4 linked regions of the Drosophila melanogaster genome follow. The protein of the gene in region 1 purifies or fractionates together with the protein of each later gene. This does not show direct contact. Each region holds a gene or a part of one and is shown in the gene's direction. Other genes may lie near its edges. The genes, in order: AP-1-2beta, prd1, Nak and Bub1.

The links.
Region 2: the proteins of AP-1-2beta (region 1) and prd1 purify together in Drosophila melanogaster (affinity purification with western blotting; one study listed by BioGRID). This does not show direct contact.
Region 3: the proteins of AP-1-2beta (region 1) and Nak purify together in Drosophila melanogaster (affinity purification with mass spectrometry; 2 studies listed by BioGRID, with this or other methods). This does not show direct contact.
Region 4: the proteins of AP-1-2beta (region 1) and Bub1 purify together in Drosophila melanogaster (affinity purification with western blotting, with the first as the bait; one study listed by BioGRID). This does not show direct contact.

Annotation. Positions count from the first base shown.
Region 1 is NC_004354.4:19,729,156-19,735,109, forward strand, and holds AP-1-2beta (adaptor protein complex 1/2, beta subunit), read left to right. Parts: upstream 1-1,848; 5' UTR 1,849-1,934; intron 1,935-2,219; 5' UTR 2,220-2,244; coding exon 2,245-3,669; intron 3,670-3,734; coding exon 3,735-5,075; 3' UTR 5,076-5,426; downstream 5,427-5,954.
Region 2 is NT_033777.3:11,780,978-11,788,974, reverse strand, and holds prd1 (pruning defect 1), read left to right. Parts: upstream 1-1,960; 5' UTR 1,961-2,352; intron 2,353-2,546; 5' UTR 2,547-2,606; coding exon 2,607-3,492; intron 3,493-3,561; coding exon 3,562-4,440; intron 4,441-4,510; coding exon 4,511-5,349; intron 5,350-5,404; coding exon 5,405-5,557; intron 5,558-5,616; coding exon 5,617-6,020; intron 6,021-6,075; coding exon 6,076-6,289; intron 6,290-6,342; coding exon 6,343-6,543; intron 6,544-6,604; coding exon 6,605-6,973; intron 6,974-7,035; coding exon 7,036-7,155; 3' UTR 7,156-7,844; downstream 7,845-7,997. Other genes in the region: HisCl1 (Histamine-gated chloride channel subunit 1), read right to left, coding at 1-333, 395-529, 644-953, 1,027-1,210, 1,281-1,393.
Region 3 is NT_033779.5:18,965,722-18,970,604, reverse strand, and holds the start of Nak (Numb-associated kinase), read left to right. Parts: upstream 1-1,860; 5' UTR 1,861-2,189; coding exon 2,190-2,352; intron 2,353-4,883. Other genes in the region: Tango6 (transport and golgi organization 6), read right to left, coding at 1-1,387, 1,446-1,506.
Region 4 is NT_033779.5:5,277,269-5,283,796, forward strand, and holds Bub1 (Bub1 kinase), read left to right. Parts: upstream 1-1,784; 5' UTR 1,785-2,091; coding exon 2,092-3,003; intron 3,004-3,059; coding exon 3,060-4,721; intron 4,722-4,805; coding exon 4,806-5,531; 3' UTR 5,532-6,015; downstream 6,016-6,528. Other genes in the region: Nin (ninein), read right to left, coding at 666-921.

The DNA of each region.
Region 1 (5,954 bases):
GGCGAAAAGGGCTCTCAATTATCCGCTGAGTGTGCGCTCCGAAGAGTTACAATCCGTACTATCCGTACTATATGTACGGTCACCCACATAAATAGGCAATACCAATAACAAATGACAAATGTTACAGTACAGGCAATCCAGTAACTGCGGGCTGAAGCTGCTCGCTCTTCCACCTTTCGTTTCTTTCGATACCACCAAATTAAGATAAATGTTATGGGAATATGATAGTTTTAATAGATTTTCTACAGTTCCAATTTAAAGCGAATAACAACCAAGTCAACATAACGTGCAATATATATATTGATAAGTGTAAAGGGAAAACCAGAAGCTTCCGTTAACAAAAGTATGCATTTCACTACCACATATTGTTTCCGTACTTTTTTAATCCCTCGAACGGAGGATAAAATCCACTCCAAGGTCTATGCTCACTCAGAATCAGAAAAACTGGATAGGCAGAGGACGAACAAACCTAATCGCATCCACAAACACGCATAGACACGCACACAACAAAAAGAACCGGACAACAATAAGAGCAGCAATAAAAACGAAGATAAGGACGAAGAAGACCGTTCACTTAGGAGCCAAGCCTGATTATGAAAAAAAAAAAAACGAAATCGGAATAATCCGCATTTCATTGTTTTATTGATTCGAAATGGCTTTGGACGATTGTTTTCTTATTGATTGATTTTCCAGCTGAATATACCGGACCTAAGTTTTTGTTTATTTCATAAGACTGAATTACTGGAATATGATTTATTTAAACGTGTATATAATTAAGGTGTAATAGCGAACTTTACAACTTTTACTAATGAAACATCAAAATTTTTAAAGTTATTCCGAACTTATTTATTAAAAAAAAAAAAAAAATAGATGAAAGTGAGGAGAAGAAAAGAGGATACAAGTGATGAGAAAGTCGTGAGCGAATGAAGTTAATATGCAACTATTAATATACAATTTATATGGGAAAATCCCCATGTGAAAATGATGATATATATATATATATATATATATGTATATATATATTTCAATGGATCGATAAAAAGCAAATGAAATGAAAATGATGTTAAAATATAAGAAAACAAAACATTTTTTAATTCAATACTACTCTTGATTTGTTTTATGTGTTAATAACTTATTAAATGATATTTCTTGAGAATATTAAAAAATAAAATTGTTAGGATATTCAATTATGTTTATTTCAATGGGGGATCACGGAAGTCTCGGTTTTTGATAAGGCATCGAACAATTAAAAATTTCTATTAAAACATTCGTACATAATGTACTTTCCTTTCAGACTTAAAGGAGCGCATTTTATTGAAATAAATATTCTATTTCATGTTACTGCCGTCTTTCATTCTAATTTAATATTGAAAAAGGATATTGACATCAATTTTAGGTGAAGATATTGAACTTTTTAACATAAATAATTTGTAAATACAATTGAAAATTAAATTTTGTATAACATTATTATAAATAACAAAGTTAGCCTGTTGCTTTTACGATCCGTTACTTTTCAGATGTAATATAGCCATCTCACTCTAATTCGCTATATTGCTCTCTGGTGAGAGCGTCGACTTCGTTTTTCATTGAGATTTCAGTTTACTTCATTGGCTGTCCTTTATTTTATATCTGGAAAAATCTTCTGCATGATTTTCCTAATCTGAGCTCTTTTACGAGTAGGATATGTTGACCTTGATCAACACCAATTTCCAAAAAAAAGGAATTTAATGCACCCACTTATTTAAAAATGTTTCGATAATAACACAAAACATCAGTTTGCGATAAAATCGCAAAAACTAATCGATTTATCAAAATACTAAACAGAAAAAATACCAGCGCTTCGACAAGTCACTCCCCTGTAAACGGTCGCACTAATTGCAGATAGAAGAGAAAAGCTAACAAATCTTTGTGCCCGAAAATCAACTATTTGAAAGGTAATTAAAAGCAAGCTGCGTTGGCAGAAGTCTCCCCAAGTGGGCATAGGCGCAGTCCAACTGAGGGCTTCTTTTTCCCCTGGCCAGTTCTGAGTCATCCCGAAAATCGGGCCCCTTTTGAGACGTGTTCAAGCTGCGATAGGGGCGAATGTGTTGGTATTCGGATGATTCCGCCCCCAAGATGTGGTGTGGTGTTGTGAGGGGGGATTGCAATCAATAATCGCACTTCTTGTGCCGGAAACTCCACGTTCCCCTCTCTAAACTCAATCTCGATTCCAATTTCAGTACGCAGCTAGGAGCAGCAGCCACGATGACTGATTCCAAGTACTTCACCACCACCAAGAAGGGCGAGATCTTCGAGCTCAAGTCGGAGCTGAATAACGACAAGAAGGAGAAGAAGAAGGAGGCGGTGAAGAAGGTGATCGCCAGCATGACCGTGGGCAAAGACGTGTCCGCCCTCTTCCCGGACGTGGTCAACTGCATGCAGACGGACAACCTGGAGCTGAAGAAGCTGGTCTACCTTTATCTGATGAACTACGCCAAATCGCAGCCGGACATGGCCATCATGGCGGTTAATACGTTCGTGAAGGACTGCGAGGACTCCAATCCGCTTATCCGGGCGCTGGCCGTGCGCACCATGGGCTGCATTCGGGTGGACAAGATCACCGAGTACCTGTGCGAGCCGCTGCGCAAGTGCCTGAAGGACGAGGATCCGTATGTGCGCAAGACGGCCGCAGTGTGCGTGGCCAAGCTGTACGACATTTCAGCCACAATGGTGGAGGACCAAGGCTTTCTGGACCAACTGAAGGATCTGCTATCTGACTCGAATCCCATGGTGGTGGCCAATGCGGTGGCCGCTCTTAGCGAGATTAACGAGGCAAGTCAGTCCGGCCAGCCCCTCGTGGAGATGAACTCGGTCACCATTAACAAGCTGCTGACGGCGCTCAACGAGTGCACCGAGTGGGGCCAGGTCTTTATCCTGGACTCGCTGGCCAACTACAGCCCGAAGGATGAGCGCGAGGCGCAGTCCATCTGCGAGCGAATCACTCCGCGTCTGGCTCACGCCAACGCCGCCGTCGTTTTGAGCGCCGTCAAGGTGCTGATGAAGTTGCTCGAGATGCTGTCCAGCGACAGCGACTTTTGCGCCACGCTCACCAAGAAGCTGGCTCCGCCATTGGTTACGTTGCTCTCCTCAGAGCCGGAGGTGCAGTATGTGGCCCTGCGCAACATCAATCTGATTGTCCAGAAGCGGCCAGACATTCTCAAGCACGAAATGAAGGTGTTCTTCGTGAAATACAACGATCCCATTTACGTGAAACTGGAGAAGCTAGACATTATGATCCGCCTGGCCAACCAGAGCAACATCGCCCAGGTGCTTAGCGAGCTGAAGGAGTACGCCACCGAGGTGGACGTGGATTTTGTGCGCAAGGCAGTCCGCGCCATCGGGCGATGCGCCATTAAGGTGGAGCCCTCAGCCGAACGCTGCGTGTCCACGCTGCTTGATCTTATCCAGACCAAGGTCAACTACGTGGTGCAGGAGGCCATTGTGGTCATCAAGGACATCTTCCGCAAGTACCCCAACAAGTACGAGAGCATTATCAGCACGCTGTGCGAGAATCTGGACACTCTGGACGAGCCGGAGGCACGCGCATCAATGGTTTGGATCATTGGCGAGTACGCAGAGCGCATTGACAACGCGGACGAGCTGCTTGACAGCTTCCTTGAAGGATTCCAGGTAAGTTTTTCTCTGGATTTGCCAACATTATCAGGACTTTGAATTGCTATTTTCTCTTTCGCCAGGATGAAAATGCACAGGTGCAGTTGCAGCTGCTGACGGCCGTGGTTAAGTTGTTCCTCAAGCGCCCGTCGGACACCCAGGAGCTGGTGCAGCACGTACTATCATTGGCTACCCAGGATTCGGACAACCCCGATCTGCGTGACCGTGGCTTCATCTACTGGCGTCTCCTGTCCACGGACCCGGCCGCCGCCAAGGAGGTGGTGCTGGCCGATAAGCCACTCATCTCAGAGGAGACCGACCTTTTGGAGCCGACATTGCTGGACGAGCTCATCTGCCACATTAGCTCGCTGGCCAGCGTTTATCATAAGCCTCCCACCGCGTTCGTGGAGGGTCGCGGAGCCGGTGTGCGCAAGTCGCTGCCCAACCGAGCCGCTGGATCTGCAGCTGGTGCAGAGCAAGCAGAAAACGCAGCCGGCTCAGAGGCAATGGTCATTCCCAACCAGGAGTCGCTCATTGGAGATCTGCTCTCCATGGATATCAACGCACCCGCCATGCCATCTGCTCCGGCCGCCACCAGCAATGTGGACCTTCTGGGCGGCGGTCTTGATATACTCCTCGGTGGACCGCCAGCAGAGGCGGCTCCCGGCGGTGCCACCAGCCTGCTAGGCGACATTTTTGGACTGGGCGGAGCAACGCTATCGGTGGGTGTTCAGATTCCCAAGGTCACATGGCTGCCAGCGGAGAAGGGCAAGGGACTCGAAATACAAGGAACGTTCTCACGCCGCAACGGCGAGGTGTTCATGGACATGACTCTGACCAACAAAGCCATGCAGCCGATGACTAACTTCGCCATCCAACTGAACAAGAACAGCTTCGGCCTGGTGCCCGCGTCGCCCATGCAGGCTGCTCCCCTTCCACCCAACCAATCGATCGAGGTCAGCATGGCCTTGGGCACCAACGGACCCATTCAGCGCATGGAGCCGCTCAACAACTTGCAGGTGGCCGTGAAGAACAACATCGACATCTTCTACTTCGCGTGCCTGGTGCACGGCAACGTGCTGTTCGCCGAGGATGGGCAGTTGGACAAGCGCGTGTTCCTCAACACCTGGAAGGAGATCCCCGCCGCCAACGAACTGCAGTACACCCTGAGCGGTGTAATTGGCACTACCGACGGCATCGCCTCCAAGATGACCACCAACAACATCTTCACCATCGCCAAGCGTAACGTCGAGGGCCAGGACATGCTCTACCAGTCACTCAAGCTGACCAACAACATTTGGGTGCTGCTGGAGCTAAAGCTGCAGCCGGGCAATCCGGAAGCCACTCTCAGCCTCAAATCGCGCTCCGTGGAGGTGGCCAACATAATCTTCGCCGCCTACGAGGCCATCATCCGTTCTCCATAAGCGTTCCATGGCGCACATCCGATGGCATAGGATAAGCACAAAGCAATTGGAGCTATCGATTTGCGTGTGTTGAAGATTAGCTCAACAATAAGTTGTAAATTTACGTATTATTATTATATTGTGTATTGGCCGAATCGCCACCTACATATATTATTTATGCATATGCACACATATAAAATCCAATCGGGTTCGTCGAGAGATCTGTTAATTGTTAATCGGAGCTGCTTGTCACTCAGTGTACTAACGTGTAATAGCAACGTTGCATAACCGCATTCCAAAACTCTGTAACCCCATATGTCCTATGGTCGGCATCTATGTATATGTTTGTGTCCTAGTAAAATGCGAAACACTAAATAATTGTGACATTGTTTTCCTCGACGGCAGTTGCACTAAGCACAGTTTCTATTCGCTTTCAATGGTCATTTCTACAAGGTTCCAAATACGCATGATTATGATTTATGATTTTAGTATTATAATTAAAACTGTGTATTATAATATTTGTCCGTTCGTAAGCCTGAAAGATTTTTATACTTTCAGCTCAAAGTCAAAGTGCATCAAAGTAAGTTTTCTAAGTCGAAGATCTGAGAAAATAATTGCATCAGTTAGGTTAAAAGTCAATATATTGATCAATATTTAGGATCATTAAAATCCAAAACTAGGCTTGAAACTCAAAAGTTAGATTTGAAATATCATATTTACTTGAAAATTCGTTAAGGAGAAAGAGGTTTTCCTGCTGCAAATATAGAATCCATCAGATAGGAGTTGCAAAGCGCTTTTCCCGCGCAGATCAACTTTGCGTCAAACTATGGCCACGCCCACATTGGCCCACGTATGTAAGTGGAGCATTCTGTAGCGATTTGTACAGACACCCAAAGCTAT
Region 2 (7,997 bases), on another chromosome or scaffold:
TTGCCTTTGTGGCCACCGGTCCCATAAAATTGTTGACCACTGCAAATTCCATCAGAGAAAGGAATACAAACACCGAACAGGACGACATCCAGACGTCTATAGCCTTGACATACGAAACCGGCGGCAGCGATTGTTGCGACTGGGTATTCTGGGTGGCCAGGGTTAGCAGTGAGGTCACTCCCAGAGTTACACGGGCGGGTATCGCTTCTGGTTTTATCCAAAACGATATCCAAGACATGACCACAATCAGAGCCGAGGGGATGTAGGTGTGGAACAAATGGTAACCCAGGCGTCGGCGCAGGTTGAACACAATGGCCAGGCAGGTGAAGTTACCTAGAGATAAAATAAATATAAATTATATTGAAAAAAATGGCTTTTAATAGTTTAGTCTTACCTGTTGAGTACTCTATAGTACAGTCGGTTGTGTAGTTATTTGATATGTCTAGCTGCGGCAACTCAATCTCCGTGTTAACCACAAGTGGGTCGGTCATGTTCCAAATGAAAACCAAATCTTCCACCGTATGGGATACTGCCAATCAAAACTCGGTTCAACACAGATTATTTGTAATTCGAGAAGCGGAATGGAAAGTTCCAAGCGATACGGGATTTGCAGGGTGTAGATAACCATTACATTTCCACCTACAACTCTCGATCATCATGGAGCAGATTTGCGTGTCATGCGGATAGGACTCAAACTTCATGGCGCACGACAGGACCAACGTGAGTTTGGACATATAGAGCAGCGTTTTGTCGTGGTACAGCCAGAGATAGTGATTGGGAATGCTCATCTCATGGAAGGTGACCTTTTTGGCGTTCTTAAAGAAGCAATCGGGCCGCCAAATGCTGTGCAACCAGTCGACATCCAATATGCGATACTGCTCACTCATGTTCTCAGGCAACCGCAGGCGAGGATCACGCCAGCTTTGTGCAAGGAAGATGTCCGTCACATAGGTCTAAAGGAGCATGATAAGCCAATTAGTGTTTGCTGAGTGATGAGTATTGAAAAGATGAACACATTCTACTGACCATAGACTCCTCGTTAATGGAGTCCAGGGAGAGGACCGTGACATGGAAGTAGACTACTGTGGGCTGGCCGAGGAGCTTGGGAGCCCGGTTCTTGTCGTACGTCTTTGAGGGAATGGGCAAAATGTCCGGGAGCGAAAGACTCGACTCGTAGTGGGAGACCAGCTCGGCGCTCTCCGTGTTATTTCTGCATATGTGGAACAGAACAGCCCTGTGGCGTAAATCTGATGAAACTGGGCAAACGCACTCGGACTCACCTGTAACCATGAACACAATGGCAGTGCTGGATCGATTGCTCCAGCGCGTGCAAATATATTGCCAACGCAATCAGGCACCTGAATTCTACCAATTTGCTAGTTGGGCTTTGCATTATGAACACACTACCTTCGGCTTTGATATTGTTCCTCTGGCACTCATTGCTCCGCAGTCCATGTCAATTCCCAAAGTAGCTCATCTCTGGGTGCGCTTGAGAATGAACTTGCTCGGAGGATTAGTAAGCGAGGAATTATATTTTACTCGTCGCGCAGCAAAAACCAATAAAGAAACGGCAGAGTTATCGCGACGATTGTGATGTGCTGCAAAGTGTGATAAATTGATTTCTAAGGTTTCATTCGCTTTCATTGGCATTCGCCCACACTACACTACTTTTCAAATTGACAACTGACCCCGGTTAGCGAAATGGCAAAGAGGAAATGATGTTCGCACCCACTGACAAGGGCATTAATTTAAATGTCCACTCTGTATTTGCGAATAATATCTGTGAAATATGAAAAACCGTTTGACTGCGCGAAACAAGCGAACTGGGCGCCAACTGTCGATGTCAAAAATGGGTTTATCGGCATGTTCCGGCATTTGCTTTCGAAGTACGTTTTCACAAACTGTTCTGGGTTTGCTCTTAACTTTAAATCCCAATTTTCTTGAAATGCAAATACGTGCTCTACAATATTTTAAATAAAAGCCGAATACAAACTTGTCTTAAAATTGAATTAACTCTTCAGGAACATTTTACATAATGTGTTAAATAATTGTTGAATTTTAAAATTTACAAAAATATTATTTGAAAACCGGAACTTCCCGTTGCTGTAACAGGCCGCGTTGCCAACCTCTTCTCTTATCTGGCAGCTCTGGCGCGCAATCAGCTGTTCGCGGAACTGGCAACTCTATGAGGTCAAAATATTGATTGTTTCACTTGCCAAGACGTTTTTTTTTGGCAATTCTAAAATGTACAAGTGGCGATAAATCTGCACATAAAACTCTTAAAGCAAGCGTAAAAGGAAACGTAAACCACCCAGATCGACAGTAACATGGAATCCTGCGATACAATCGCAGGTGAGTGACAGAAGCAGCGGTGTGTGAATTTAATCCCGGTGCGATTTTCAAGGGGGTGCTGGGTCAGGGGTCATTTTCCTTTGTGCACTGGCGCGATTTGCTGCGGCGCATTGTGCAACTTGTGGATATTGATTAATAGCAAGAACGCCGAGATACACAAATAATGGTTTACCGACTTTTACAATTTTCCGTAGGTTAATAGACGAAAATCACTGCGTAGATAACTCTTGACAAGTGCGAAAATCGAAACGACCATGGAATCACCTCTGTTGCCCAAGGCCAACAACAATTTGGGCATGGACAAGATGAGCTCCAGCTTGAACAGCAGCACCATGGAGGACACCACGCCCAGCGATTCGGGAGTACAACTCCTGGACTCGGAAAACAGCGATGTGATGGTGGAGTCCATTTGCTCCTACGAGGAAAACGTTAGACCGATGCCCCTCCCTTTGGTGGATCCCAACTCCAATGTGACTGCAGCGCCGGATGAGTCTATGACCATTAGCGAGTGCTCTACGTTCGACACCACGGAGAAGATTGTATACCGTCGCAAAGTGCACAAAGCTTCGTCCGCCTCCAAAACTCCCAAAAAGCGAGTGTCCTTCCACGAGGACATACTGAAGAACACTCGTACCGACAACATTCACATTGAGCATGGCTTTATCACCTACAAGAACGGACGCAAGTTGGCCTTCGCTAACTCAGCGGGCGTGGCCGGCGCTCCAGGACGATATTCCTGGTGTCCGGATCGGGAACGTCCGGAGGGACCTAATGAACTCAGTGCCGCTGGCAGGGAAGACGATGGCGAGGAGGCTACCGGTGGCGGAGGTGCCAGGCGAAAGAGACATCTGGTCTACCGAAATGCCTGCTCGGATGTGCTGGACTACGACAACATTTTTGACACGGACGAGGCGCCCGGTCTGCACTATGACACCTCAGGTGTCTTTGAGTACGGCCCTGCGACCCAAAAACAGGAAGAGCAACCCCAACTTTACAAGTGCGTGTGCAGCAGTTCCAACTCCAGTTTGGATTCCGACGAACAAGACAAAAATTCCAATGCGAATTGTAAGCAGTACGAGCAGGCTAAGAGCAGCTCATGTGATTGCATTGGTATGAGCAATGCTAACAACAATCTAATCGGTAAGCTATATAACATTCTGCTTAAATCCTTGTGATGTATATCCACATTAATCTTTATCCCACAATTAGGTGACAATTGCTACTATTCAGAGCCCAATATCGGAGATGCTGACAGTCCCAAAGTCAAGTCCGTATGGAATAAGGAGAAGAAGCCGAAATCAAGCTGCTTAAAGAAAACTAAGCTACATACAAATGTCATACTCGAGCAGGATCTCAATGGGCGGGTAAAAAAGTTTAACGTGCACGACATTAAGCACCAACTGCTCGACAACAGTAGCAAGATGATATTTGGATCGCTAAAGAGCATCTTTACCATGCCATTGCCGGAGCGCGGAGTTCCCGAGGGCTCCGAAGACCTGCAGGCGGTGGTGGAATGCGTCCCTGAGCTGGAACAGACACCAGAGCACAAATCGCGGCCGGCGGCCGAGTCACCGCCTCTTAGAGCTAAGCCATTCCTCAGCAAGAGTCTCGACGGCAGCAAGCAGGCACAACCAGTTAAGAAATTCGTGCACAACGTTGATGAGCAATTGCGGCATAAGAACGAAGACGATGGTGCCAGCTCCACGGAAGCCTCGCCGATGGAGTCAAAACAGTCACTGATGTTGCATCGCCAAGAGGAATTCGATAAGGAAACAGTGCCAATGGGCAGCGCACAGGGCGAGTTCCGCAGCAAGTTTATAATTAATTGTGAGAGCACTGTTTTCGAACACACCGGAGTATCCTACGAGACGGGGGATCTGCAATCCGAACTCTCATCCGGTATTCAGCACACCAGTGTAGCCAGTCTGCTCGAGCAAAACACTCCCATCGCAGAGCCGGCCGCTAGTCAAATTAAGAAATCATTTTTGGATGCTCCCATTGCCAAGACGTTTAGTAATTTCTTTCGAAGCTTCAAAGACAGCACACCAGTTGCAAAGGACGAGCAAGCAGTCACAGATAACTATTTTGGTGAGCAAATAATATTCATTTGAATTAATATTTTCCCCGATGACTAACACTGTTCATTATGCTTATATAGCTTCAAAAATCGCTAAGCCGCAGCAACAAGCACCAGCCGCGGGCAAACTTCAGCGCAACTTTTCCTCATCAACCATATCCGAACCTAGTTCGAACACCAACACCAGCAGCAACCATCAAATCGCAATGAATCCGCAGCTGGGCAACGCGGAGCGTCAGTCTCGACACCTTCCTTCACCGCTCAAGAAGCGTGGACAACCCTTACAGCCGCCCCGTTACTACGACCAACAGCATCCTCACCAAAGTCGGAGCCTCCACAGCCCCAGTGCCTACCTAGCCGCTGGACGCGGAGGACCAGGAGGTAGTGGTCGCGACTCAAAGAGCACTATTCTCAGCGAAGAGTTTGACGACATACTAACTATAACCACTACAGATACAACTAATGCGCGCTCAATGGACAGCGATTTGGTCATCGTAGACTACACAGATGTGGACTATGCTCACTTACTGAAGCCGCCAGCTCCGGCGGCCAAAACTTCACTTATAAATAGGTTCCTTCGTAATGTCACACAGAAGAAAATAATGGAAACCTCCATACGCAAGAACAATTTCTTTGCCGATAAATTGAGAACCGAACAGAGGCATGCCGGATCCGATCTGTATGTGAAGGGTGCTCGGCCAAAGAACTACGAGCTTATAGATGACTTAAATGCAGAGATTGCCATGGAGATTGAGATGTGTGGCACGAATTCGCCGCGACGGGAACTTGCCATTAGTTTGGATAACGATTTCCAAGGCAACTTGTCCAATTTCGAACTTGGCATTGGGGAGATCTCAATTGATGTATTCAAAGGAAAGTCCTTGTTCAATCTGAAACAATCAAATGAGCAGCTAATGAAGGTAGATTGTAATTGTGTAGCAAATAGCAATCAATTATAAAAACTTATCATTTCAGGCTTTCAAACTGTATACAGGCTACAATGTAGATGGCATCATGACACCTGTACTTGTCCTACTCACTGATAAAACTCTGTATGTGGTGAATATGGAAGGAAATAGTCTGTGTGTCAAGTTTGTTTTGGCCTACAAGGACTTGGATGTCATACTGGTAAATGTTAACGGATGACATTGCTGTGATATATTAGTTAATGCAACATCATTTTTTAGATGGGACCTTTTGGCAACACAGTTTTGCTCAGCAACAGTAATCGAGACATGCAGCAGGTCCTGCTCGCGGGTGGTCCGTATCCAGCCGGATCCCTGGTAGCCAACCTGGAGTTGTGTGCCCGACGCAGTGGATCCACTCTGCCTGCAGTTGGTCAGCTGACTCTAGAACATTTGGCTCCACTGCAGGCTTTTGTGCGTGCCAACAGCTGTGTTGGCGTAGCAGAACATTGGATGCTCTATGCAGTGGTTAATGTGCCAGCTGGAGGGTCAATGAGAGTCGAATCGCCAAGCGAACTGCTGGGACCTTCAATGAAGGGATTCCTCATGCATCGAAGACTTAGGCAGACGATCAGCACTTCAGCAGCGAACAGAATATTTTGGCAACCAGGATACTTTTTACTGAAGTTCGTAACTCTCGATATTTGAAGGAATTCAATTTAATATGTGTTCATTTCTTAGAGCTGGCGTATTGTATATGTTCAACGATTCCACCCAAAGGCTTCCCAGCTGGGCCATGGCCCTCGCCGAGTGTCAGGGCGCCCGGCGAACTGTGAAATCAGAGCGCCCCCACTGCTTCGAGATTACGCTAAAGGGCGAAGTCCTGCAAATGGCTGCGCCCGACGAGTATGTAGCCTCCGAGTGGCTCCAGGCTCTTTTGCAATCAGCCAGTGGCGTAAGTAGACAATTAATATTAGAAGATTTGTTTTAACTTTTTGTTGTGTTTAGCTTGTGGTTCAAGAGGAGAAGCACAAAACCCTTGGATGCACGTTGATCGTCACGGATAACCATTTAATAACCCTGCGTGAAGACTTTTCGGCTCCTCTACGAAAAATAAGCCAGCAGGCGGATAACAATGCAGCCGTTCAGGGAAATAAAGAAACCATGCTTGAGGAGGATATGCTCAGTGTTTTTGAAACCAGTAGCTTAGTAAGTGCGCTTATTGTATTAGCAAATCAAACTTCGTAATCATTTGGACTTAAAATTTTAGATGGGTTCCACCATTAGTACTCCTACCCGTGGCACTCAACATTCATATTCCTCGTTAAGCTCTACGCCTACTAAGCAAACAAACGAAGATGCAGCTCCGAAAGAAACTGTAGCTTCGCCGGAAAAATCACAAAGAATGACCAGTGTTTACGGAAAGAACTCCGGTTTAGCCATACTAACTTGTGCGGACATCAAAGAGATGACTGGCATTAAGATAACCTCGCGGAGCGAGACTTGGTGGTGCATTCTGGAGTTCTCCTGCCAGGAGGCACCATTGGAAAACCAGGACGATTTGGTTATATTCTTTGCCAGCAGCATGGAAATGCAACGTTTCCTGCGGTTGCTAGAGCAGCTTTGGCAGTCTAAGAATGTATGTTTCTCGTTGACTACTAAACCTTTCCTTAGCAATAACGAAATATTCTAATTTTACAGAACGATCTATTTCCAATAACCATACTAGACGACGGTGACTCTCTGGCCGAGCAATATAATAAACTTTATATGGACACAAATAGGGCCTGGGAGCCTTTGCTATCAGCTGCGCTGGGTTAACGTGGCTCTGGCCATATATACTCCATTTACAAATAGAAAATTATATTTCCATATACATTACTCAAGCGTTAAATATTCTATCCTGAATACTCAAATAGCTAAAGAACAAAAAGTATTGATATTTATATAGTCTGTATGTATTATGTATTATGATTTTGTAATGCGTGCCTCCGCTTGACTCATTCATTCGTTTGCGCTTAGTAACATCTCATTTGAATAATTTTTGTGATATTAAACTTAAAGTCGCTGATCTTTGGTATGCTCTTTTGTAGGATATTTAGTTTCTATTGATTTTCTACATTCGTTATTTCTTACCTTTTATAAATACATTGTGTACAAATATTGCACAGATAATAAGAAACAAAATATTATACATAATCTAACTTATACGAATATTGGACATGTAATCAATCGGTAATGTTATGTTTTGGGGGTGCTCTTTTGGTCCAAGGATCATATCCATATGATATACGACAAACAATATGTGGCTATTTATAAAATAAACAAAACAAACATTTATAAATGTGTATTAGGAAAAGTGTGCATGGTGGACTTAATCTTATTTTGCAATGCTGTGCCTCTCCTTTTCAATTAGCATAGATTAAATTCCCCTCCCAACGCCCGACATTTCGCTGTAAGCCTTTCAGCCCACTAAAAGCTCATGATAATTAATAAAACCAATAAACGCCATTACAAAACGAATTTTTATTTATTCTGAGCTCGCTGATGGTCCTTGACATTTTCAATAATTGCAAGTGGTGAAAGGGTTTACAGAGGAAAGGGTTTTCTGGGCTCTAAGTCGGGTTTATGCTGTGTGGGACCCTATATTCCGAATGAGTGTG
Region 3 (4,883 bases), on another chromosome or scaffold:
GAGCTTGATGTGAGTAGACCGGGCAATATTCTGCCCATATCGTGATCTGCTAGATGATCTTTGTGAGCTACTTTAACCTGAATTTGAGTTGTGTTCATGGAAGGCAGGATTATAATGCGTGGGTTTAAACACTTCCAAGGAGGTTCCTTCTCAATTTCCCATTTAAACAGCTTCTGGAGTATCGCAGGTAATTCGTTTTTCATTTCTCTGTTGTCCAGACAACGCAAAATAATGGCAGAAATCTGCGATGACGCCGGTAATTCCATTGGAAGGCCATCGTAGAGTTGGAGCAGCAAAGGAAGGTAGGGAACGAGTAGATTACTGGGTAAGCAAGCTACGGTTGAAGAACAAAAGAGATGCTGCCATAAGAGAATGCGATTGCACAGTTCCTGGTGATCCATTAAGATAAGGCCATTAATAATGTCTTCTGGGTTACAAAGCGTTTCCCAGTGTTTGAATAATATTTCTTTTATCAGCTTTTGATTTGTATCACTTAAATCGTAAAGTCTTCTGAGCGATAGGACACCGGCGCACATTTTGTCCGCATTCTGCAGATAGAACTTACAATATTCTAGCACCTGGAGAACCATCTTCTCTTGCGCTAACTGAGAAAATCCTTTTCTGGCCACAATACTAGCCACAATTTCCGCATTTCTGGAAGAATTCACATTGGGATTTTGATGCAGGGCCTCAACAAGACTAGCAAATCCTTGGGGTAAGTGAAGCTTTCCTAAGAGTTGACGGTGCAATAATTGGGCCAGAGTTGGGCAGAGAGTCGTAGCTTTAAAAAGCAAGATGTTGCGAAAGAAATCTGCTTTGGATTCATATTGCCAGAGGTAGGCTATAGCCTTATCCAGCAGTGGAGAGTCTTGCTGCACACGTAGACTCACAATGGCCGCCAGTAGATCCCTTTGCACCAGCTCCATCGAGTTGGCTATGTGGTATTGTCGAATATGCAGTAGATTAATAAAGAACTGAATGCTTAGAAGCATCAATGAAAAGTTAGCTTTGATTTTCCCCTGAGCCTCACAAAAGATGGGCGACTTGTAGAAATCCTCATGTAGCTGGCATCGAAGCGAGTAATATGATAATTCTTGGGAAGCCTGGATACACAATTTCAGGTGCGCTACCGAAATAAGATCCTCCTTGGCGTCGCTGTGGAAATTAATGTTCCTCATGATCGAATGTAGCACATGTTGCAATCTTATTATATAGCATATAGTACGATCCGAATCGGGATCAATACTAGATTCGTGATCGTCTGTTAACTGATATTCCAGGCACAGCTCATGCAATTGCTGACCAATCTCGAGTTTAGCATATTTTTCCAAAATTCGCAGGTTGATTTCCAAGGCTTCGGCAGTCCCTGAGTTATTCGCCGTATTTGCTGTCGAAATATTAGTATTAGGGATACTACAATTATTATATGATGTTAACCAATTTACCTAGAGCTTTACTAAACCTTAAACTCTCTAGAAGAGCAAAGTACTTGGCCGTATTTATCATTGTTATCCCAGCAAACTACAATTTTGCGAATTTAGCGACCATTTGCTAGAGATGCTTGTTTACAATTGCACCAGCACAATCGATAACATATTGATAAGGGAAACACGATGTTGGCAGCATAGCTAATTAAAACTGCGCGATAGTTTAATGCAACTGTAGCTATATGTTTTATTGAAAGTAGAACCATATTATCTTTTTAAATTGGATCAAATTACAAAAAATTGTTATCATAAAACCTATTTTGTAAACGGGGATTTCCTTGTTTTCAGAATTTCGAGATTGCAACCAACTTATCTATATATCGATAGGCGGCTGCACCAGCCGCGGGTTGCGCATCTGACTGCAGCAAAGCGCCCTGGTCACACTGGCCCAACAACTCGAGAGCAGCAGGAAAATCGAACAACTTTCTTTTTCCACTGCATTGTGTGTGTGCATGCAAAAACACAAAGTGCGCAGAATAGCTTTATTCAGCTAGCCGATACGACTCGAAAGTGGATTAATTGGCCAGCGGCACCGACGCCCCGCCCACCGTCAGCCGCCCTCGCAAAATTAAAAATTGCCAAAAACACCTACGCGCAGGCAATTAAGACCGTGTTAGCTAGTGTGCGTGTGTGCTCGCGAGTGTGTGTGTGTGTGTTGTGCTGCTGGGGCAGTAAACATTTTCTAGTGAAAATCGGGGGAAAATGAAGAAAATCCTGTCTAAGTTCGAGCGCAATGAGAACTCTCGACTGGAGAATCCGCCCAACAGCAGCAGCTCGTCGTCCTCGAACGAGAAGAACAGCTTCGTGGGCAAGGTCTTCACAGTGGGACGCGTCACGGTCACCGTGGAGGATGTCCTGGCAGAAGGTAGACGACTATATATACACTCTTATATATGTGCTCCCATTCCCCTACCTACAACACGTCGCCCGCGATTATGCTTATCACCTGCCTGATTTACAGGTGGGCAGTAGCCTGCCGTCCGCTTTTCGGTCTCGCCCCTCGTCACAGATTAGATAAACCCCTTCAGCGCGAGAACTCCCAAATGTGGGGCGTACTCAAAGCGCTAGAGAGCATAAAAATCAGCTGCGTATCCTCCATAATTGGGGACACCACTTGTCGCATTTCCGATTAAATCCAAATAAATTACTCCCAATAATTTCTGTATAAGATGTTAAACTCAAAACAGCTAAAATCTGACTTTGATATATTATCTTTTAATAAAACTGTAAAACATTTTAAATTATTTCATTAATTATGAATACTAAATACTGGTTTGTAACCTAAATTCCAACTAATTGAACTGCAATTTTGCCCTTGGCATAGAACTACATATTTATGTCCATAACTCGGCTCTCTAATGGCGTGCAGATATTTCGTCCAAATTTATGTCAGTCTTTAAAGAGTTTATTTTTGCCAAAACCAGAAATGCCAGCATTTCTATTGTGACAAATGGGTGTCCGCGTTAGAGAAACCCGACTGTACAAACACAGTTACGGTTCTGGTTGGTTTTTCCATGGAATACCCATTGAATTCCCGTAGCCACTACACATGGCCACAAATCAATTGAATCAATTATGTTAATTTAGCCAATGAAGCGGCAAGACCAACACTCATCAGCCGACTGTCTCCGACAGTCTTCCGTTTTTCACCTTTCGCCGAGCTAAATGGCAAAGTTCGCCCCTAAGGAAATCGCCTGTGCTGTGTCCTTGTCCTTGAAATGCGGAGTGCTCCACTCCACATCATCCTGCAGTGCAAGTGCCTCCTTGTTGGCCTGGCACCAGTACCCTCCGCCCAACATTTGATCATCTAACGATTGCTCACCCACCGCCTGGCCAGCCATTCGCCACCTTTCCTTTAGCCATTACGTAGTGTTTTTTACTTTTTATACTTTTGGCAAGCGGACTCGATTCGTAATTTTGTTTTGCGCTGCGCTGGCGCCGCTGGCAATTAGTCAGCTGTTGTCGGGCATACCCTGTAATTAAAAAGGCGGAGCGTTTGACGAACACGGTTATTTGGTTAAAGTTATTGAATTAGTATAACAAATTATAAACTAAATTATATATTATTTATTAATTCATTTAATCCAGTAACGTAACTATTGGTATTTCATTTAAGAAAGAGAAAAAATAAATAGAGTCTTTTGCAGATGCTCAATGAATAAAATGCGCGTATAGCCAAGTTTAAACTGCTCGATATGCTGGATACTTCCAAAGTAACACTGTGCTTAATCACCTTCAATATTTACCTGCTTTCTTTGATTCGATTTTTGAGCAGCCAACAACAATTACAAATGACTAAGCGACAAACGGTTAACGAATGAAGCTTTCCCGCCTTAACCCCTCAGCCCCCACCCTTAACCGCTTACTGCCCACCTTGCAGTTGACGCCCCTTCAGACGTATTTTCTACCCTCGTTTGCGTTTCGAATTGCCTTCTCGCGTTTTCTCGCATCGCTACAATTGTGCATTGTTATTGTTGCTTTTCATACTATTATTACTGGATGTTGTTGCTGTACTTTTTGCCAATGTTGATTTGTTGCTGTTGCAACCTTCAGCATTGATTAACATTTGACGCCATAATTTCACAAAGTCGAGCAAAAATGGTTACATTTGCTGGTCCGCTATTCACTTCTCTCTATCGCCTACACAGGGAGAAATGGTGTGTGCATTTACAGCAAATGTTCCATAAATATTTTCAATATTAAAACATTCTCCTAATCGTTGCATCGTCTATGCATCTAATGTATTGAGATCATTTTTTTTTCTAATATCATTTCATTTTATATCTAATATATATTTTTATGTTTTTTTCTTAGTGACCACTGTTCCTATCTTTTTATTTTGCCGCCCCACCGCCTTCCCCCGCTGAGTATTGTTATTGTCGCATGTTATTGTTGTTATTTCTGTACGTGACCTTCAATAGTTTAGTTTATATTGCGTTGCCTTTTTATCGTACATTTTGAAGTGGCGTAAAGCGACAGGTGGAGAGGGCTGAAATGTGGGGGCATTCTACTTGAAATTCTATTTGCAATAAACTGAAATAAACCTCATGCAAATGGCCTGTTAGGCAAAACATGTGTAAATCGTTCCATGGCCAGACAGTAACTGCTATCACTCGAATTCGGGTACCCTCTACTATTTTAACACCACGGGGGGATATTTGTGAACGTGAAATGTTTATAGTAAAGAAATTCCATTATTATCACGTAGATATATGGCATAAATTATGTGGGAAGGAATGGCCAAAGATACGTGTGCTATAAAAATGTGACACATATTTCCTTTTAATAAACAAATTAGTTTATTAATTAGCTACTTCCTGCCATATAAAATAAAATATTCGTATATATGTATTATGAATATACAATAACAGGGTATTCATCGGGTTTAGCTTACTC
Region 4 (6,528 bases), on another chromosome or scaffold:
AATTATCGGATCTGTTAACTGACCGCCGGATCGGCGGTAATACAATCGTGTTCCCATTTTGATTTAGACTAAACTGCCCAGGTGAATGTGTCGCGTATTTATACAGGACATTGTAACCATCTACCTGATAAGGATCATGCAGGATCAGGTAGTCGAGAACAGTTGGGAGTCGTAAAAAAGTGTCAATTGCATCTATGATTTTATGATCGCCAGCTGCCGCCGTGCTAATCCGCGTGCTGATTATGATATTCGTACCCTAAGGTGTCCTAAATTTGCCCAGAAGTTTCCAAATCAGATAAGCGGAGGTTTGAAGTAAATGTGCATAATCCTTGCAAATTAGCACGTAGATGGTAGCACTTCTTTGAGTATTAAGTAATGGCTTTGTTCATCTATAGACTGCTAGAAATGTGTTCATTAGATCAGTGTTTTATTAATAGGGAAACCCACACGGTTCCAAATCCGTGTCAAAATTGAATTACTATCTCTAATAAGTGGCTGGCAAACATTCCGTAATTATCTGATGTTGCTTGATGGGTAATTAAAGCGCAATTACAGATAAAACGTATGTTGTTTTATGCGAACCTGTCGCGTTAGCTTATAGCAAATATTATCTTTATACTATATAAGTTAATCTATAGCGTGATCGATTCTTTGTGCTATCTCACCAATGAAACCCGATGACGTATTACCATCGAACTCGGAGCCCAGGAAGTTGAGTAGCGCCTCCTTGAACTGGCCAAAGGACACGCCCAGCTGATGGCTGCCGCCCAGGCTGGCGATCAGTGCGGATCCCTGATCCCGGAGCTCCAGCAGTGAGCAGAGCTTCAGCAGGGACTTCTCGTCCAGAAGTCCACACTGCGTCTCGCAGCTGCGGAACATTTGGTAGAGCTTCTGCTCGTACGGATCGGCGGATACCTCCATTATCCGTAACCCGGGGAATTCAGTTTGCTGCCGTTCCAATCGATCGGCTGCTCAATTGCGTTTTCACTTCGCTTTTTTTTTCTTGGGGGGAAAATCCACAAACGCAGTCAGGGGTCGAAAACAAGAAAAGTGAAATATCGGGGTCTATGTGCGTGGGTGGCGGGGGAATCACGCGTGTTTTTTGGACAGCAGGCTGTTTGAGGGGTTACTAATACTACTAATCTATGATATGCACTTCGGAACGCAACATAAACACTCGCGGGTTTGCGGTTTTTTTGGGAATAGCGTAATTTCTAGCGAGTTGATAAAAAACAATAATGCAGTAATAGCGAGCACGGTGGCGCGCTCTGGAGGGCATTAAGCAAACTTGCATCGGAGGTGGCACTATCGTGGACCATTGTTCCTATCGTTATACAACTATCGTTTAGGATTTGAATATTTATATTACAAAATAAATAGATAACAAGGGAGAACGTAATGCCATATAATAAATCGCTAACTTTACTTGGAAAGCTTCAGCTCCAACCAGACCCCTTATTAAAGTAGAAAACTTGACATAAATTGAAATCATCCGATTAACATGTTGTTTTCCAATAATAGATTATAATTATACAAAAAGTATATCAAATAGGAAGTGCTTCATAGCACACACACATATATTGTGCGTCATTCAAACTACAATAATTTAAAACAAAGAACCCTATAGTTTTATTAATAAAATTGAACTTTGGCAACAAATAAATAAATAAAAAGTAAAGTTGTACAAAAAATTGCTTTTGTTTAAAAATTCCCAACAACACGTTTCTATCGCACTATCGATAACCTTGTGCATAGCCATCGTCAACAGTGACAGCCAATGGTTCTATCGATTGTTTGGCAGCACTAATAAATTCCATTTGCAAGCTGAAAAGCAAGAAAAAATACAAAATATCTTTGAGCATTGCAAACTGTTGAAAAATCCAACTGAAAATCATGTGTATGTGCCACCAGTGACAGCCGAAGACGCCGAGGGATTAACTGAGTTAGTGGACCCTAACCAGTCCAATCGGCAAGGGGCACTACATTCCGCAATCCGAGACTTTTTGGTGGTGACCCGTAGAAACCACAGTCTCGCATTCATTTGTTTGCATTACGGCGCAGCGGGATCAGAGGATTCCGCGTCCGGCCGAGATGGCCATGCACTCGTACATGCGCCAGGGATCGGGTTCCGGAGGAGGAGCAGGAGCAGTCGCAGCTGGAGCACCGCCGCTGGCCAGCCCGGACGAGATGCACGGCTTCCTGAACGACAAGCAGGCTTGGGAGCACGCCATATCCCTGTACCAGGGTCCTGATCCACTCGATCATTGGTACAACTACATCTGCTGGTACGAGAATCACGCGCAAAGCGATCCGGAGCTAAAGTACCGCGAAACTCTGGAGCGCTGCCTGACGGTGTATGAGCACAATGACTACTATCGCCAGGATGTCCGTTTGGTGCGGCTGTGGCTGAAGTACATAGCCATGCAAACGGATCCACTCCATTTCTACCAGGTGCTTTTTCAGCGAGGAACTGGTCGCCAGGTGGCCGCCTTCTACATTGGATGGGCTGCCTATTACGAGTCTCGCGAGGAGTATAAGGATGCGGAGGCGGTGTTTAACTTGGCCTTCCAGGAGAAGGCGCAGAGCACTTCCGAGCTGCAGCACGCCCACACCAAGTTCGCCTATGCCAGGTCTCTTTTTTACCAGCGGCAACAGCAGCAACAACAGCAACAACAGCAGCACCAGCAACATCCCCCGCAGGATGCACTGCAGCAACTCACGAACTATGCACAGCAGCAGATGCCACAGAGCTATAATCAACACCGTCCCCAGCCATATCAGCAGAATGTCTATCAGCAATATCATCCGCAGGCGCAGGCACATCAAGCCCCACAGCCTCATCAGCCGGCGCCACAACAGCAACTGCCGCCAGAACAACAGGTCCCCTATCAGACACACTACCAGGAGCGGCCGCGCTATGAACCACATCCTGCAACTCAGTCCCCAACAGCAATACCACCATCCCAAGTCCAGCAACAATCGCATTATGCTCCTGTGGCAGAGGTGAGCATTAAATTTAATATCAAAGCTACTTGATAAATACTCCTTTTTTGTTTTAGTCCCATTATGCACCAGCCCAACAGTCACAGTTGCCGCCGCAACAAACTACAGTACCGCAGTTGCACGCACAGCAGCCGCAGCAGCAACAAAACGGCAACGGCAATCCACCTCCTCAACAAAGTCCTCCGGTGACAAATGAAGTGGCTGGCCTACGCTTGCCGCGCAATTTCCACGCCTACGGGCGCAACAACCATGAGACATGGAAGCCGGCTCTAACGCTTGAAGAGCCTGATGATCCCTCGCGCGTGTGCCACTATGCCAAGCAGTTGGTATATCCACCAGGAGCAGGCGTCGAGTACAGTCCCGAAGAGATACTAGCCCGCAAGTTTAAGCAGTTAATGGATCAAAAAGCCAAGCCATCGGAGCCGCCAGAACAAGAACAGCAAACTCTTTATGATTCCTACGAAACTGAGAAATCTTACTATATGACTGCTGTGGATGGAGCTCTTTACGGGCAGAACACCAGCAGTGGTCAGGAGAATACAGGTGAGGAAGATGAGGACAATGACGCCGAGGAGGGAGAAGAGGAGGAGGATGGTGGTGAAGAGAACGAGGAAGATGACTCTGATGAAGAGGAGGAAGACGATGAAGAGGAAGAGGAGCATAGCGGACCGTACACAAATGGCGTGCAGTTCAGTGCGCAAACCACTTTCGAGCAAGAAAATCGATCGATTAAGATCAAGTTCAGGAAGGAGCCCAGCAGCACCTACAGTGCCTATACCATAGAGAATGTTTACCAGCAACAACAGCAGCAGCAGCAGGAGCAGCATCAAATAATCCATCAGCCTCCGCAGGCAGTACATCATCCTTCGCCGGACCCGGCACCTGCTTCTCCGATTCCCATCCAGCGTCAACGCAACGGAAGCCACCACCACTTCCATCCCTACATGCTGGGCCAGACCTCGACGCCGAAGAGCGAGGCGAATGGCTATCGCAGGGCACGCACCAAAGTTAAGCGCAGCAAGTTCCAGCCGGATCTCTGCAGCAACAGCAACTCGGCATCCTCGGTGGCTGATGTGGCCTCGAGTAGTGTGCTCGCCGGAGCACCTGGCACATTTAATGACAATGCAAACTTTTCGTTCTCCAGTGCCACAGCTTTGGATAACTCAAATAGCTCGCTGGCCTTGGCTGTTGATAGACTTAACTTCCGCGACACATCGCAACAGCAGATCCTCCATCCGGTCAATAAGACCTTACAAATTCACAACAACAACAATAACACCAGCAACAACAATAATGGCACTAGCACCATGGCCGATTTCTCCACATTTCAAGAGAACTCGTACTTCGCCACTCAGCACGACACGGAGGCCCAGGAGCGTCGGCTATCGAAGGCCGTTGAAACGATAGCCCGCCACATGGACAAGGAGGCCATCGATCCGTTCAACAGCGAACTGTGCCGCGCTTTTCTCGCCAAGCTAGATTTTCCGGGTAATCACGATGCCCATGCCAGTTACAAGATTGTCCAAACGCCACTGCCAAAAATATCCAACACTCGCACGCTGAACGTCCTGGAAGGCGTTACCTTTAGCATCGACAAGGAGGTGGGTCGCGGCTCATATGGCTCGGTTTATAAAGCCACTGATTCTCGGACCGGCAATGTAGTGGCGCTCAAGTATCAGAAGCCCCCAAACACCTGGGAGATATACATATGTGATCAGGTAAGAAAAATTATATTTACCACTTATATTAAAGTTTTTTTTTGCCAAAAAGATTTGGGTGTTAATACATATTGCGTGTTTTAGGTGCTGAAACGCATCAAGGAGCCAGAGGTGTTGCCTGGCGTTATGGACATTTCCACGGCGATCATCGCCCCAAACGCTAGTCTAATAGCCACCGAGTTCTCACCGTTCGGTTCGCTGCTGGACATCAACAACAAGATCCGCCAGGCAACCACCAAAGTAATGCACGAATCGCTGGTGATGCACTTCTCCGCACAGATCTGCAATATCGTGGACCACCTGCATCGCCAGCACATCATCCATGCGGACATTAAACCGGACAACTTCCTGCTAATGCGTGTGCCCAATGTGGACAGTCCGTTGCCATCGCTACGTTTGATTGACTTCGGCTGTGCTATCGATATGACCCTGTTCCCGGACGGTGAGAAGACCAAGTTCCGGAAGGTGGTGCAAACGGATGGCTTCACCTGCATCGAGATGCAGGAGGGACGCAGCTGGTCCTACGAAACGGATCTCTTCTGCATCGCGGCGACCGTTCATGTGATGCTCTTCGGTGACTATATGCAGCCGCAAAAGAAGGGCTCCAGCTGGGAAATACGACAAAAGCTGCCGCGTTACCTCAAAAAGCATGTGTGGACCAAGTTCTTCGGGGATCTGCTCAACATGCAGGCGGACAAACTGCCAGCGCTGCATGAGATGCGTCTCATCTTCGAGGAGGAGGCGTACCGCATGGACTCCGAGCTGCAGAAGCAGATACGCACCCTATCCAACATCCTGCATCGACGATAACCAATCTATTCCTATTCCTTTCTGTTAAATTGTTTTGCATATAACTCTGTTGACCAAGTCACCCATTTATATTGTTTCAGTTTTTATTTTAAAACAATTTTCCCTCTTCAAAGATGATAAAACCAAACCGGGAAAAACTCCGCGTTCTAATTTTAAACTATTTTTCTGCGAACAAACTCCCTTTTATTTATTGTTTTGATGCCAAAAAAAAAAACGAAAGCAAAAAGTACGCTACAAAATTCAAAAACATTGTAAATATTAGGCACAGACTCGATCTAAAGCAACGTTTACGAAATGAGTTTGTGGAAAAAAGGCCCTGGATTTAAATGTAATTTTTTTATGTACAGCACAATAAAACAATATATTGAAGGCAATGTAAAAAAAAAAAGAATCGTACATAAATATGTTTAAGATTAGTGCTTGCTGTACTATTGAGTAATATATAAAGATCTTTAAATAATAGTGAATAAATTGACGAAATGTTAAAGCAAAAACCATATGAATTGCAGCGCGAAAAAGGAAAGCAGTGGTAACCCAGTTTCATAAATCAAATGCCAAAGTGGCGAACCCATAATGTGTGTGTTGCAGGCAATTGTCAATTTAGTGGGGGCATGCAACAAGTAATAGCAGCAACAGCAGCGCCAGCATCAACAACAATGCTGCGCTTGACCCACTTTTCCTTTTTGCCAGTCAACCAAACGGCGCACAATTTCCACCAAGCGACTGGAAAAAGTTGCAACTTTTCATGCAACACACACACACATCGACGGTTGGAAAAGCTGCAACAGGCACACAAAGTCAAAGTCGACGCCTGCGCTGCGGCTTTTTGTTGCTAGTTGCTTGAAACTCGAAGCTTGCAGCTTGTTGCTGGCTGCTCGTTCGCCAAGTGAAAGTAAAGTGGGACAAATGCAATTATTATTGCATCTAGTAACCGACTTAGAAGTCGTGGCGCGAAACTGCAACTTGCAGCCTATGCAGTATGCAGTATGCAGTTGGA